Linked DNA regions of Anolis sagrei. The protein of the gene in region 1 binds, or shares a complex with, the protein of each later gene. Links are inferred from orthologs where the notes say so. Each region holds a gene or a part of one and is shown in the gene's direction. Other genes may lie near its edges.

Region 1 (7,533 bases):
CTAGTGCTACCATGGCATTCCATCCCTACCTTAAGTGCCGTAACTCAGGAGCACCTTGAACTCTTGGAACACATGCACACTGTTGGAGAAAAGATAATCGAGCAGTGTCCTCAGAAAGATCAGCTGCGCTTTAGACTGGGCTACCATGCTATTCCTAGCATGAGGTAATGTATAATTGTGTTCAGATTGAGTTTGTGCCATGTGGAACATAGATATTTGCCCCAGTAGGAACTGTAAAGATAATTCTTGTGATTGATCGGTCCTAGTCTGTGTTGGAATTCAACACAGTCCTCAATGAGGAACAGTTTAGTTAGCTTAGTATAAACTAAGGCAGGGGTCCTCAAACTAAGGCCCAAGGGCCAAATACTGCCCTCCAAGGTTATTTACCCTCTCTCAAGGTCAACCTAAGTCTGAAACAACTAGAAAGTACACAACAACAACAATCCTATCTCATCAGTCAAGAGCAGGCCCACACTTCCCATTGAAATACTAATAAGTTTATATTTGTCAAAATTGTTCTTCATTTAATTATTGTATTGTTTTTAAGTGGGTTTTTTTGCACTGCAAATAAGATATGTGCAGTGTGCATAGGAATTCATTCATGCTTTTTTCAAATTATAATCCGGCCCTCCAACAATTTGAGAGACTATGACTGGCCCACGGTTTAAAAAGTTTGAGGACCCCTGGACTAAGGGTTTCCCTTACACCATGTCTCTTGAATGACAGTCGGGAATCTATTTATTTCCTCACTCATCTCATTCTGATTGGTTGTTTAAAATGGATACTTTTCTACTGCAAGTCTTTTTGAATTTGACTTCTGCTTTCTCACACTTTATTATGGAGAGTATGTGCTGTGTGCTTTGAGATCTCTCTCTGCTTGTGTCTCAAGAAAAATGTAGTGATTGGTGTTTTTTTCCCTCCCTTTGAAGCCTTAGAAGAGATGGGTGTTAGAGTAGTTCAGACCCAGTTCTTGTTTATTAAGAAATGCAGTTATTCTTATTATTGTAAATAAACCTTTTGTGATTTTTTAAAGATTGAACTCTGCATGTTTGCCTCCTAAGCTCCGAATTCTTTACAGCCACATCACATGGCACTTCACGCTCTGCTAGCTAATGAGCTGATGCTCAACTTTTTGTATCCTGTTTGATTTTTGGATGCTCTGCTATATTTTAGGGTAGTTTTCCCTAACAGTCTGCTTCTGCCAAAAGCTCACCAATCAGCTCCTACTCGTTGTGCCACAAAGAGCTGGTTGGTGGCTCCATTACTGTGGAGTGATGAATTTGCCCTTGGTTTTAATGTTGGCTTTTCCACAGCTGTCCTGGGGTGTATAGAAACTGCCTTAGAGCAGAACAGTCCTGGCAAGGATGGGTCTTTTATTGTCCCACCTCAGCTGCTCCAGATTGTTCAAGATCTGTCCAGTGATCAATCTGTGTTTGGAATGAGGTTCATGAAAGCTCCAGTACAATTTGAACCAGTTGTTGCGGAGCTGCTCATAAAATTAAGGGTGATTTTATCTCTTGACAGTGAAGGACCCAACAACTTCCTGGGTATTTTGGCTGCCTTTAACATTTTGTATTTTGTCCCTTGATCACCAGATGGTCAATTTGTAGTTGTCTAGACATAGCTGGAGTTCTACACCATTACTCCTGAATAGCATAGCTGATGGTGAGGAATGGGGAGATTTGCATCTTAACATTTAGAGAGCCACAGATAGCATACTCCTCCTTTCTAGTAAGACAATACAATAGTTCTGTGTTTTTTCTCTCTTCTCAGCCACCTCCATCTTCATGTTATCAGTCAGGATTTTGATTCTGAATGCTTCAAAACCAAGAAGCACTGGAATTCCTTTACCACAGAATACTTCATAGATTCCAAAGGTTAGGACATCTCTTTTTAAATATATTTTAAAGTTACTCATAACCTTTTTTTTCTTTTGATTTTAGTCCCCCCTCCCCCCCTGTCTTTTGTGTGACAGCATTCTAATCTTAAGTTTGCATTAGCCACATGTGAAGTTTGGGTTTGCTTTTAATGTTGAAAGAGGCATTTTTCTGACAGTCCTTTTATGGTACTAATACCAAGGTGGGAGAAAGTAACTGGGGGATAGTAAGTGAGGGGACAGTTTAGATGGCATAATCCCCTCATTTTGTATATGAACACTGTGACCTAACTAACTAAATATGCTGCTACTGTGATATATAGTTTTATCTGGTTTTATATAATTTTTCTAGAACAGAGTTAGATTGTCCCTTCAGTATAAATTTGGGTAAGAGTATGTTTCTGCACTACTGTATATTTGGGGCACATTGCTCAAGAGCACAATTTTAAAAAATATATTGCTACTGGTAAAAGGAACTGTTTGTAATAAGAGATTAATAATAAGAGATTTCATTTCTTACCATGCACATTGGGGGAGAACAGTTTCTCTGTGCTAGCATTTGGCAAATCAACTTTCAGATATTTTTGGCTTATAATCCCTATCTGACCCAATCACCAAAGTCACTGGTGATGGATTGTGGGAATTTCAGTCCTAAACCAACACTCTGTGTTAAGGTAATGTTTTGACAGCTGAGTCATATAACTTTCAAAGGCATGACTATTGCTGAACTTTAATCTGAAGTTTCCTTCTCCCCATTCCCATTCAGATGTAATTAAGATGGTGAAGACGAAAAGAAGAGTAATTGTAGATAAGAATGCATCCGCACTCTTGAAACTACCTCTAAAGTGTCATGTATGCAAACAACAGCTTCCAACTATCCCTCAGTTAAAGGAACATCTTAAGGAACATTGGCCAAAATGATCTGTCCTAATCTATTCCTTTGTTCAAACATTAATCTGGATACCTTATTACACTGTCTTATTAAATACACCAAAATGTGAGTATTGCTATAACATCCAGCTTAGTGTGACAAACCACAGGTGGTTGTTTTTCAGGTGGACATAGGCAGGATGAGGACTTATTGTACAAGAGGCAATGCTTTATCTTTTGCATCTGTAAACCTTCATCTCTAACACATGGTGTGCAGTTAGCATAAATAAGCCATTTTATATTTAGAGGGCTAACTGAAATGCAGTCTGGGTTTAAATTTGTCCATTTGGCATTCTCTGTTTATTTTTGGTTACCCAATAGCAAGTTGGTATTCGATTTGCTGCATGTATTTGCAGGAGTAAACAGATTGTATTTTGCCTGAAATCTGTCAGATTGAAATATTAGTATTAGAAATATTTAGTATCCCCTTCTGCAATTCAGATTTGATCCGTGGCTTTATTTCTGTACCTGTTTCAAAGCAGCCACTATGAATGTGAGACACATAATGATTTCTGACTTAAGATCTTGGCTAAAGCTTGGATGCCAGTTCATATCCTACACCTATCGTACTTGGTGTGAGTTTGTGCTGAATAAATGGTAATGGGGTGTCTGAGTGGGGCCTCTTGAATGCCATTTAAATGTTATCATCATAGGTTATTGGGTGCTGTTTTGAGTTTAAACTTTGTTTTATATGTTATTGGTTTTATCTTGTATTGTGTGTTTATTTTATGTGTTATTTTAGGCACATTCTGCCATATGTAAGCTGCCCCGAGTCCCTTCAGGGAGATGGAGGAGGGGTACAAAAATAAAGTTATTTAAATAAAGTTATTCTTCCACGGAAGTTCAAGATGCCACAGAAAAGTGCTCTCTGTTTTATCCTCACAACAATCTTGCCCCGTGGCTAAGTCGGATAACAAAAGGCCTTGCTTCACTCAGGCAAATAGGAATTGTTAAATCGTTTCGTGCGTGAATACATTCCTAAATCCCAGTCAGAGTATCTCTGTTATGTAGGTTATGTGATACTATGTACATTTATCCCAAAAGTAAAGTCTACTGGAATCAAATGATTTGACATCCTTCTGGATAGACATTCATAAAGTACTGTTAGCCATCAGTCCTGTTTATACATACGAAGCTTTGTGTCCCTGAAATGTACTCAACATTAGAATGCAAGACTGGAACAGAGAATATGACATATAAATGCTTCCTGGAACTGAAGTGTCTAACGCAGTAGGTGAAATAACAACAAACAGAAGATAAGCAGATGGCTCTTTGGAAACATGGGGGTTGCACAGCTGGGAGTCACCACAGAGGAGACTTTCTTATACATCACAGCCAGGATGCATAAAAGAGATTTTCCAGTTGATCTCAAAGGGCAAGTAGGATTATAAAGGGCTGTAACCAATAGTGCTGTTGATTCACATGAGCCAAGGGACCAACCCACTCAACAACAAGGCTGCTCTGTGTTGCCATTGCTGAAGGAACTTCCATGCATAGTACATTATCTCAAGGTGACTACAGTATGTGCCAATAGCATGGCTAGATCTACTTCCTCTCAAAAGTGGCATAACTGGCACATGAGCCAAAAAGGAGAAAGAGTACTTCTGCCCACAGCTGTCACCTGAACATTGAGAAGAAGAGCTGGGCCTCAAGAGTTGCCTGAAGTGGCAAACTTGATTTAGTGGAACCTTATGGAACCCTCAGCTTCCAACAGACCAATTCACATTCATTGAGCTTAATCTTATTATGCACACTCAGACTTTCACTCACCTCAGGCACCAGCTTAGCATTTCCACTACCCTCCTTGGAAGAAAGATAGCAGAGAGCTGATTTAGCACCATCAAATCAATTACATTAAACACCCCTGCTCCTTACTTCCCAGTACTTTTCTGTAGATGTTGAAAAACAAGAAAAGATGAGAAGCAACTCTTCAAGCCACCATAAGCCCACTTAACCATAAGAAGTCTACTTGACAACAACATGGCTAATCAAATCTGTCTTCTCAACCAATGTGTCAAAAGCACCATAATGTGAGGCATATCCAAGTCTTGTGCTGAATATCATAGATCTTTCTAAACTGTAAATAGATACTACATTCTTTCTCCCCTCTCTCTCCTCCCTTGCTGAAATCCTGCAAAACATGAAGTTCTCAGCTGGCATTGAATTCAACACCTGGTATTGAAATTGCACCCCAATACAATTTGTTGTGGGTGAATCTGTCACCTTTCATTATATAAATTATGTCTGACTCCTGGTCCTAGGGCTAATTACATGGAGCATGATAGAGGAATTGTTAGAGGCCCAATGGGTTTACTGTAGCTGGCACTGGCAATGGAATTTTGGTCAATATTAGCAATCCTCAAATAGGCTTTTGACACTCCTCTTCCCCATAAACCCTGTTACCGAATTTACCTGCTACACTTCTGGAAAGAGAGCAAAGGTACTTAAGGATGGAGGAAAGCTGACCTTTTGAGACACAGTTTTAAAATGTATTACTAAGGATAATCCACAGCATCACTTAATAGGCCAGAAAACAATCCGGTAACTACCAGATATTGTTTGCTTTGATACTTGAGTTCACAGCATGCATCTAATTCATACTCAGTAATTTAAATTTCAGCCTAGGAGAGCCCCAGAAAGTACAGTTTTCCTGTGACTAGCCATTTTCTGCCTAGGGCTGCATCATAGATGATGTCACAGTATAGAGCCTTTGTTTTCTGAAGGTTCTGATATTTCCTGCCATTTGACCTAGCGATCAGTATACAGAGATGGGATTTAAATGAGGACCTGGAGACAAAATGTCGGTAAGAGGGAATGCAAGTTTTGGATCTGTGCCATCAAAGAAAAGAACAGTATTCAAGCCCAGCAGCAAACACAGAGAGGAGAAAGATTCAGCTCCAAGAAGGATAGTGAAAGAAACCAGAGCAGTTGTCATAGATATTGGTACTGGCTCTTGCAAATGTGGGTTTGCAGGAGAACCAAAGCCAACCCATGTGGTTTCATCTACTGTAGGTAAGCATCTCCAGGAGACTGCAAAAACAGGTGATAATAGGAAAGAAACCTTTGTTGGCAGAGAACTTGCAGATGCAACAATACCCCTGAAGCTTGTCAACCCTTTGGTACATGGAATCATAGTGGACTGGGATACCATTCAGGACATATGGGAATATCTTTTCCATGAGGAAATGAAGATTCGGCCTGAGGAACATGCAGTTTTAATATCGGATCCTCCGCTGAGTCCGACCACCAACAGAGAAAAGTATGCAGAAATGCTCTTTGAAACCTTTAACACCCCAGCCATGCACATTGCTTACCAGTCTAGATTGTCGATGTATTCCTATGGAAAGACATCTGGCCTTGTCGTGGAGAGTGGCCATGGTGTTTCTTATGTGGTTCCCATTTATGAAGGCTATACTTTGCCTAACATTACTGAAAGGGTGGATTATGCTGGGTCGAATGTCACTCAGCAATTGATGAATCTCTTAAACCATTCTGTGAAATTGTTCACGGAGAAGGATTGGCGTGTCTTGGAAGATATCAAAGAGAACTATTGCTTCACTTCACTGGATTATCCACAGGATGCAGCTGCGCCTTCTAGGAAGCATGAGATTGAATATGAACTTCCTGATGGGCAAACCATCATTATTGGCAAAGAAAGATTTGCATGTACGGAAATACTCTTCAAGCCCTCCATGGTAAACTCCCAACAGCTGGGGCTTCCTCTCCTGACCATGACGTCTCTGAATAAATGTGATGTTGCCCTCAAAAAGAACCTGATGGGCAACATCCTGTTGTGTGGGGGCTGCACCATGATCAAGGGCTTTGCTGACCGCTTCCAGAGAGAGCTTGTTCGAATGTGTCCAAATGATAATCCCATTTCATCGGCTTCCCCTGAAAGGAAAACGTCAGTATGGACCGGAGGCTCCATCCTGGCATCCCTCAAAGCGTTCCAACAGCTCTGGGTTCACAGGAGAGAATATGAAGAGCGGGGCCCTTTTTACATTTACAGGAAATGTTTCTGAGCTCCTAAGATATCTTGAGTCTGTTCCTTGCAGCCAAAACCTGCTTAACTAGATCTGGAATAATCTGAGAAGGCTCACACTTTCTTTTTCAGCTTTACCTACCAAAATATAACTTGGTCTGTGAACACTAGTAATGGTTTCCTTGCTGTTCTCCCACTATTAAAAGCTCCTTGTTGTAGTTGCACAGTGTTAACAAAGTGGTTTCCCATTTTTTGAAGTAAGTGGCATCGAGTACAGGTGTGTATGGGTAAGGCCTTTTTTATCTTGTTATCCTTTATAAATGTTTCTCATTGACTAACTCCCATATATATAGCTGACATTTCAAAGGACGTGCAAAGTTGCTCTCTTACTCTGCTTTCTGTGTATATATATTATACACACATACAGCAGAGTTTCAGAAGTGTTTTTTTAGTTGCCCAAAAACATCTATTCTCCCTTAAAATATATTTGCCTTTAAATCATGCTCTCAAGAGACAAAAATAAACCTCTGATGATGCTTGCGATAGATGCAGGTGAAACATCAGCAAAGACTGCTTCTAGAACATGGCCATATAGCCCGAAAAACCTACAACAACCCAAAAATAGACTTCTTTAAAAGTAACTTAGTTGGTTTATTCACAAACTTCATGTATTCAGCATACAGGAACTTTGCATATCAATCCAATTACATGCAAAGTACATGATTGCAGTGAACATGGGTAGGAC
Region 2 (7,653 bases), on another chromosome or scaffold:
GCAGGGTTGACATGGAAAAGGGATGGAGCCAACTGCCACTTGGCAGGACAGCCATTTAAAAACAATCAGTCTGTAGTCTGTGAACTCCAGGAGTGGCTGGTTCTGTAGTAGAGAGCACCAGGAAGGTAGACTATAGTTTAAAAACTACAGGGAAAGGCTGATTCTACTGTAGTGAGAATCAGGAAGGTTTCGGCTTTTAACCTAGGTAGTTTAGATAAGTCTAGTTGACTTATTTATATTAGTAGTTAGTGTGTGAGTAAAAAGGGGGAGAGAAACCCAGTGAGAATCTTTATTACAACAGAAATATCACAAAGAAAGAATAAGCTTGTATCGGAAGTAATCTATTAAAGAAAGAAACACAGTTTGAAGAAAAATAAGTTTGAAACCTGTTTAGTAGAAGAGTCCTTTCCAGAGTTGTTTTAAGGAATGTTATAAATGTAACCTCTGAAGATATGTGCCTCTAAGAGTCAAGAAACATTGAAACCATCAAGCTTCTGCTACATTTCAATAAACTTGTTACAGTTTATTATAAAGCCCGGTCTCTGTTACAAATCCTTTCCAAGTTAAGTCACGCTACACATTGAAGAAAGACCAAATCAATATTATTAGCTATTAGCTATGCTAACAATTTGATAAGCCCATACAAACTGGTGGCTTCTTCACAAAGTGGTGGCATCTACGTTACACACCTTAAATGGGTCACATTGGGAGCCATTGCTGTCCAAGACTGTTGCCATCATGTCATTGTGGAGGAGCCGCTAGATGTTCACAAATTTGTCAGGGCACCCGATTTTTTAGAGGATGGCCCAGAGAGAACTGTGATTCACTGTGTCAAATGCCTTTGCAAGGTTAATGAATACCATGTACAGAGGTTGATTTTGTTCCCTGCATTTTTCTTGAAGCTGTTGTGCAGTGAAGATCATGTCCACTGTTCCTCTGGAGGGCCGGAAGCCATTCTGGGATTCTGGAAGGGTGTCTTCCGAGAGAGGTAGAAGGTGGTTTGCAAGGATTCTTGCAAGGAATTTCCCAGTGGAGGCTAGAAGGGTGATACCTTCATAGGGTGATGATGGCTAGCTCTGGCCCTTGAGCACTCTAGCTGGAGGTCAGCTGTGACCAGCAATGTTGTAGAATTTGAAGAGGCACAAATGGAGGGCGAAAGAGAGAAATGTGACAAGAGGAAGGCGCGTCTGGGACCACCTTCCATCGGGAAACTGATTCCTTCACTTCAGGATAACATGCAGGTCAAGAATAGGACTCCTCAGTCACCTACGTACCCACCGCCAGGACACCGCACTTGGAGGACAATCTTACTCGGACAATGTGGGGTCACCTAAGTAAGTAAGTACACTGGCTACATAAGGTGGTTTGAAGATAGCTTGACAGCACAGTGTTTAATTGACGTATGCCATGAACACACACAGCAATGCACATTAAAGACTTTAAACGAGGATAAGCAAAGTTGGGGGATATTCTGAAAGAGTGCCCATAATGCACACAAGTGTGCCTAAGTATGGACATAGTATGGGAATGTTTTTAATGTAAGCTGCTTTGAGTCTCCTTGTGGAGAAAAAAGCAGTGTATAAATAAACATAATAATCATAAGAACAATAATAAGTGTAATTGGTGAAACCAAATAAAGAACATAATTTCTATATGGCTGTCAAGCTGCAGATACTGAGATCCTGGATCAGTTTTGAAGCCAGTCTCTGCAATGTGTCAGCACCATCCAGGCTTTGAACCAATTCCAAGACAACATGCAGTCATTTGCACAGTGAAATTGCTTTCTTCTCTGCTCATTTCATATAAACCTAAGTGTCCAGTGTAGCAGTATCCTTCAAGGGAATGAGAAAAAGTCCCAGTAACCACCAAATACAATTTGTTGCCTAAGGCAGAGCATCAAAGATGAGGTCTAGCAGGTCAGGTAACTGCTAGAGGTTAGTTCAAAGACTCTGGTGGATTTGCAGGTGCCTATCCCTTTATATGTAGTGGCGCAGTACAATAGTATCACTTATAAAATAACAAAAATCAAGGTTTGCTCTTTGGATATCATAATATTTTCCAACCATGGATGATGGAATCTGTGGTTGCAGAATTTGTGAATACAAAAAGGGCCAAACCTACCAAAACAAGTCAGAAAATCTCATCCATGCCTTTCTCCATCTCTGGCAGCTAAAGCAGATTAGGCAGGGAGAGAGACCCAATAATAACAAATGAAGTAATCACAATTTTCTGGCCTTACATCATGAGCCAAAACCTTCCGGCCAAGGCTTCTGTCTCACTCTGCCTAACAGCAGGGCCGGCCTGGAAAAGCTAAATGGCTTTGACAGCCATTCCAAGGCCTCAGTTTTGTTTCATTTCCCGGAGGCAGCTGGAAAGTAAAGCAAACAACATGTAGAAAATGACGATATGAAAAATGACAAAGGCGGGAGGGAAATGGGGAGAGATTTCATTTCCTACATGCCATAAATCACTGGATGTTCAGGAGCCCTTTATGAATCGAGGGGGATTATCTACGACTCATGGGCCATTGGCTCACGGCAATTGTTATAAATGGCTCTCATTTTCCCTCCCATGGCCCTCAGGAAAGGCAGAGAGAAATGGAGACAAATCTTCCTGAAGTTAATTGCCTGAGCCTTGTGCCTGCGTCAGCAAATACCTTTGCAGTGACCTTATCAGATGCCTCCTTCATTACGAATGGCTCTCAAGGTGCATCTGCACTGCAGAATGGATGCAGTTTGACGTCACTTCAACAGCCATGGCTCAGTGATATGGAATCCTGGGAGCTTCTGTTTTTACAAGGTCTTTAGCCTTCACTGTCAAAGAGTCCTAGTGCTTCACCAAACTTGGAATGGCTTTACACTGCAGCATTAATGCAGTTTGACACCACTTTAATGGGTCAATGCTATAGAATTGTGAGAGTTGTAGTTTTGGCGAGGCAGCAGCACTCTAGCAGAAAGAGCTAAAGACCTTGCAAAGCTACACATCCTGGGGTTCCATGGCATTTAGCCATGACATTTCAAATAGCATCAAACCGCATTAATTCTACTGTGCAGATCTACTCTCAGAAGGATCTACAAAAGACCCAGCTGGAAAAAACAGAGGGGCCAATGCATCTACACTGTTAGGCTGGATCTACACTGCCATATAATCCAAATTATCAGAGTAGATAATGCACATTATGTGCTTTGAACTAGATTATATATACACTGCAATATAATCCACATTATCAAAGCAGATGATGCACATTATGTGCTTCGAACTGGATTATACGAGTCTACACTGCTATATGAGCCTGTTCAAAGCAGGTAATCTGGATTTTATATGGCTGTGTAGATCCAGCCTTAGAATGCATGCACTCTGATACCACTTGCCATGGCTCAAGGTTTATGGAATCCTAGAGGAGTTATAGTTCGCTGAGGAGCCAACTCTTTGGTAGGGAAAGGGCTAAAGACTACAACTCCCAGGATTCCAGACTTGAGGCAGGGCAGTCAAAGGCCCCTTCTACACTACCATATATATATTATCAAAGCAAATAATCCACGTTATCTGCTTTGAACTGGATGATATCTGGCCAGGTCACAGTCCCTCAAACTGCTGGAGGGCCGGATTATAATTTGAAAAAAAGAAAAGAATTGATTCCTATGCACACCGCACATATCTTATTTGTAGTGCAAGAAACCACTTAAAAGCAATATAATTAAAATGAAGAACAATTTTAACAAATATAAATTTATTGGTATTTCAATGGGAAGTGTGGGCCTGCTTTTGGCTGATACGATAGGGTGTTGTTGTGTGCTTTCAATTAATTTCAGACTTAGATTGACCCTGAGCGAGGGCCAGATAAATGACTTTGGAGGGCCATATCTGGCCCTCAGGCCTTAGTTTGAGGATCACTGGTCTAGATGGCCATATAATCCTGCTCAAATCAGATAATCTGGATTTTAGATGGCAGTGTAGAAGGGGCCAAAATGGTGTCAAAGGCCCCTTCCACACAGCTGAATAAAATCCCACATTTCTGCTTGGAACTGGAATATATGACAGTGTGAATTCAGATTACTGGGGGCCCTTCCACACAGCCCTATATCCCAGAATATTGATGCAGATAATCCCACATTATCTGAGTGTGGACTCAGATAACCTAGTTCACAGCAGATATTGTGGGATTTTCTGCCTTGATATGTTGGGATATAGGGCTGTGTGGAAGGGCCATGAGTTATCTAAATCCACACTCAGATATTGTGGGATTTTCTGCCTTGATATTCCGGGATATAGGGCTGAGAGGAAGGGCCCTCAGATAGCCCAGGGTCCTTCCACACAGCCCTATATCCCAGAATATCAAGGCAAAAAATCCCACAATATCTGCTTTGAACTGGATTATCTGCGTCCACATTCAGAGAATGTGGGATTTTCTGCCTTGATATAGAGCTGTGTGGAAATGTCCAAGCTACATTCCTTCTTATGGTGGAGACTGCTGGTGGCAAATTGCTACTGTATCCCAGTTGGCCCCTCTAGGGAGTCTCTCTCCGGAGCGGGGCAGGAGCAAAAAGGTATTCGGAAGGCGCCGCGATTGGCTGGCGGGCCTTCCCGTGCTGAGCCCTGATTGGCTGCAGCGCTTCCTTTGTTCCTTCCCTCCTCCCCACTGCAGCCGCAGGAGAGCGGAAGAGAGAGAGAGAGAGAGGCGAGGAAGGGGCTGGTCGCAGAGCCGCCTCCGAGGGTCAGGAAGGGAGCAGGAGGGCACAGGGCGAGAAAGCCAAGCAGGCGCCTCTTCCCTCTGCAGTCTCCCCTGGATCCTGCTGGACTCGGAACCAAGATGGATTTGGAAAACACAATGAAGAAGGTAAGGAAGGAAAAAGGAAGGGAGGAAGGGATGGGGAAAGGAGCGAGGAGGCTCCTCGGGGCAGGGAGCTTGTGCTAAGTCACCTGGCTGCGGCGGGCAACGCCCCTGCTGGACCTTTCCTGGCTGCCTTTGGGAAATCCCCAAACTCTCCCTCCTGCTTTCATTGGATGCATCTGCACTTGAAAAGTAATGCAGTTTGATACCGCTTTAACTGCCACGACTCCATGCTTATGGGGGCTTGGCGATTGTCAATTTGACAATTTCAAATTGGGCTGCTATTCTCACAGTAGTTACAAGAGCATAGATTTTCCTCTCAACTCTCCCTCCTGCTTTCATTGGATGCATCTGCACTTGAAAAGTAATGCAGTTTGATACCGCTTTAACTGCCACAGCTCCATGCCTCTCAACAGTATAATTCAGCTGATAAACAGTCTAACTGAGCTGCTGAACTTGCTGACTGAAGAGTCACAGGTTCGAATCCGGGGAGCAGCATGAGCCCCAGCTTCTGCCAACCTAGCAGTTCAAAAACATGCAAATGTGAGTAGATCAATAGATACCGCCTTGGTGGGAAGGTAACGGCGCTCCATGCAGTCAAGCCGGCCACATGACTCTGGAGGTGTCTACGGACAACGCTGGCTCTTTGGCTTAGAAATGGAGATGTGCACCAACCCACAGAGTCGGACACAACTAGGCTTAATGTCAGGGGAAAACCTTTACCTCTACTAGTATAATTTTACAATTTTCCCCTATTATTAAGGGAGGTGTAATAAGAGTTTCTTGGGTTGCAAAGGGCTATTAGCCTTACAAAAGACCTGCTCCTGAAGGACAGAAACTGGTACTGGAGTCAGAAATCTTAGTTTTAGAGTCTTCTGTAGAAGTGCAGGCTATTTGCCATCTAGGAAGTGATCTGTGGATGTGTCTAAACCAGTAGTCCTCAAGAATGAAAAATAACAAGCTGGATGGCCATCTGTCAGGAGTGCTTTGAATGCAATTTTCCTGCTTCTTGGCATGGGGTTGGACTGGATGGCCCATGAGGTCTCTTTCAACTTTATGGTTCTATGGTCCATAGCCTCACCATTACGACACCGTTGCCTTAAAACCACGTGGCAACAAGAGCGACTGGTCTCACAAAACCCTCTTATAGATTATTAAATATGGTTTTCTGTGGACGAGCAGATTGCAACTACTGAATGACAAATGTCCTGTATCAGAAACTAGAGCTGATGTGGTCTCTCCAGTTCAACTTTCTGAATCAGCACCACAAATAACCTAACCAAAACTTAACCAAAAACTGATTCGTAACTCTTTTGGTACTGTTAGAGAGTGGTCCCTGGTCAAAGTGGTCCCTGGTCAAGTAATCCCTGGTCAAAAAAAGGTTGGGAGCCGCTGGTCTAACACTGTAAAATGTATGCAGTTCAACACCATTTTAACTGCAATAGCTCAACACTATGGAATCATGGGAGTTGTAGTTTGATGAGGAACCAGCACTCTTTGGCAGAGAAAGCTAAAGGCCTTGTAAAACTCCCATGATTTCATATCACTGAGCCATGGCAGTTAAAGTGAGGTCAAAAGTACATTATTTCTACAGTGTAGATGCATCTTGTGTTTCTTGTGATGAGTCCTCTCCTTCGTGCCTGTAAGAGAGGCTGTCTGAATCTCTGCATCGCTTTCAAGGTTTAGTCTTCTTTTTATGATATTGCTAAAAGCAGCACAACTCTCAGGCTTTTTGACCTCCACATATGCGGCTTTAATTCTGGATTCGGTTATTCAGATATTCATCCTCTCTAGGAATATCTACATCCTCCAGTGTGACAATTTCTTTATTCGTGACTTCTCACTTTCAGGGGGTCCTTGTGCCCCTAACTCAGGCATGGGCAAACTTCAGCCATCTGGGTGCTTTGGACTTCAACTCCCACAATTCCTAACTGCCTTCCTTTCCCCGGACCATATTTTCATTCTTGTGGACTACTGGTGGTCCACGGACCATAGGTTGGGAAATGAAGGGTCCTGAGGCTGTTAGGAGTTGAAGTCCAAAACACCCAGAGGGCCAAAGTTGCCCATGCCTGCTGCAACTCCAGTGAATGTGAGGACTGTTTCTGTTTACATCTTTTTATTGTGTGTGTATACACACACACACACACACACAGTGTTAATTGTCATACCTACAATCCTAGCCTCTAGTTTATTTTGGATGGAGGCAAGAATGCTTGTGAGCTAACAAATGATTAAAAAGTACCTCTTGGTGGTACCCAATTAGAGATCCCAGAATGGGATCCAGTAGATCACCACCAAGCTTTGATCTAGGGCAGCAGTTCTCAACCTGTGGGTCGCAACTATTCACAGGGAGTTGCTCACTTTGCCTCCTTTGGGTCCAGGTTTCTTTTCTCTCTCCTCCTTTCTCTTCCATTCTTTCTCCCCCTTTCCTTCCCTCTCCTTTTTCTTTCACTTGCCTCCCTCTTTCTCTTCCTTTCTCCAGCCATATATAATTACATATTGTTTTTGTGTTCACTATGCTTGAATTACGTTCCATTTTTACCAACGAAACTACATCCTGCATATCAGAATATTTATGTTATGATTCATAACAGTAGCAAAATTACAGTTATGAAGTAGCAATGAAAATAATGTTATGGTTGGGGGTCACCACAACATGAGGAACTTTATTAAGGAGTTGTGGCATTAGGAAGATTGAGAACCACTGATCTAGGGGATCGAAAACCCTTGGATCCACCACTTCCTACCTCTTGGAATGAAGTGAATTTGTTTCTCTTTCTCTGATTTTCTATATTTTCAAAGAGGGCTTGCAAGATAGATAA

The links. Proteins that work in one complex are often made in the same cells at the same time.
Region 2: the proteins of ACTL7A (region 1) and TES are in contact, whole or in part, in a crystal structure (PDB 2XQN), measured with the Homo sapiens proteins. The link is inferred for Anolis sagrei from reciprocal best matches to the Homo sapiens genes ACTL7A and TES. Residues at the interface, in NP_006678.1 of Homo sapiens: Leu28, Gln29, Thr30, Ala31, Ser32, Leu33, Arg34, Asp35, Gly36, Pro37, Ala38, Lys39, Arg40, Ala41, Val42, Trp43, Val44, Arg45, His46; in NP_056456.1 of Homo sapiens: Asn311, Glu312, Tyr313, Thr314, Gln315, Ala316, Glu317, Leu323, Phe326, Leu335, Ala336, Gly337, Glu338, Ile339, Tyr340, Val341, Tyr353, Pro370, Glu371, Val372, Gln373, Arg374, Val375, Thr376, Tyr377, Ala384, Phe389, Leu398, Ile399, Gly400.

The regions. Positions count from the first base shown.
Region 1 is NC_090022.1:150,570,686-150,578,218, forward strand, and holds ACTL7A (actin-like protein 7A), read left to right. Parts: upstream 1-4,836; 5' UTR 4,837-5,604; coding exon 5,605-6,828; 3' UTR 6,829-7,006; downstream 7,007-7,533. Other genes in the region: APTX (aprataxin), read left to right, coding at 1-164, 1,774-1,877, 2,643-2,797. UniProt on the Homo sapiens protein: Essential for normal spermatogenesis and male fertility. Required for normal sperm head morphology, acroplaxome formation, acrosome attachment, and acrosome granule stability.
Region 2 is NC_090025.1:131,546,293-131,553,945, reverse strand, and holds the start of TES (testin), read left to right. Parts: upstream 1-4,637; 5' UTR 4,638-4,810; coding exon 4,811-4,837; intron 4,838-7,653. UniProt on the Homo sapiens protein: Scaffold protein that may play a role in cell adhesion, cell spreading and in the reorganization of the actin cytoskeleton. Plays a role in the regulation of cell proliferation. May act as a tumor suppressor. Inhibits tumor cell growth.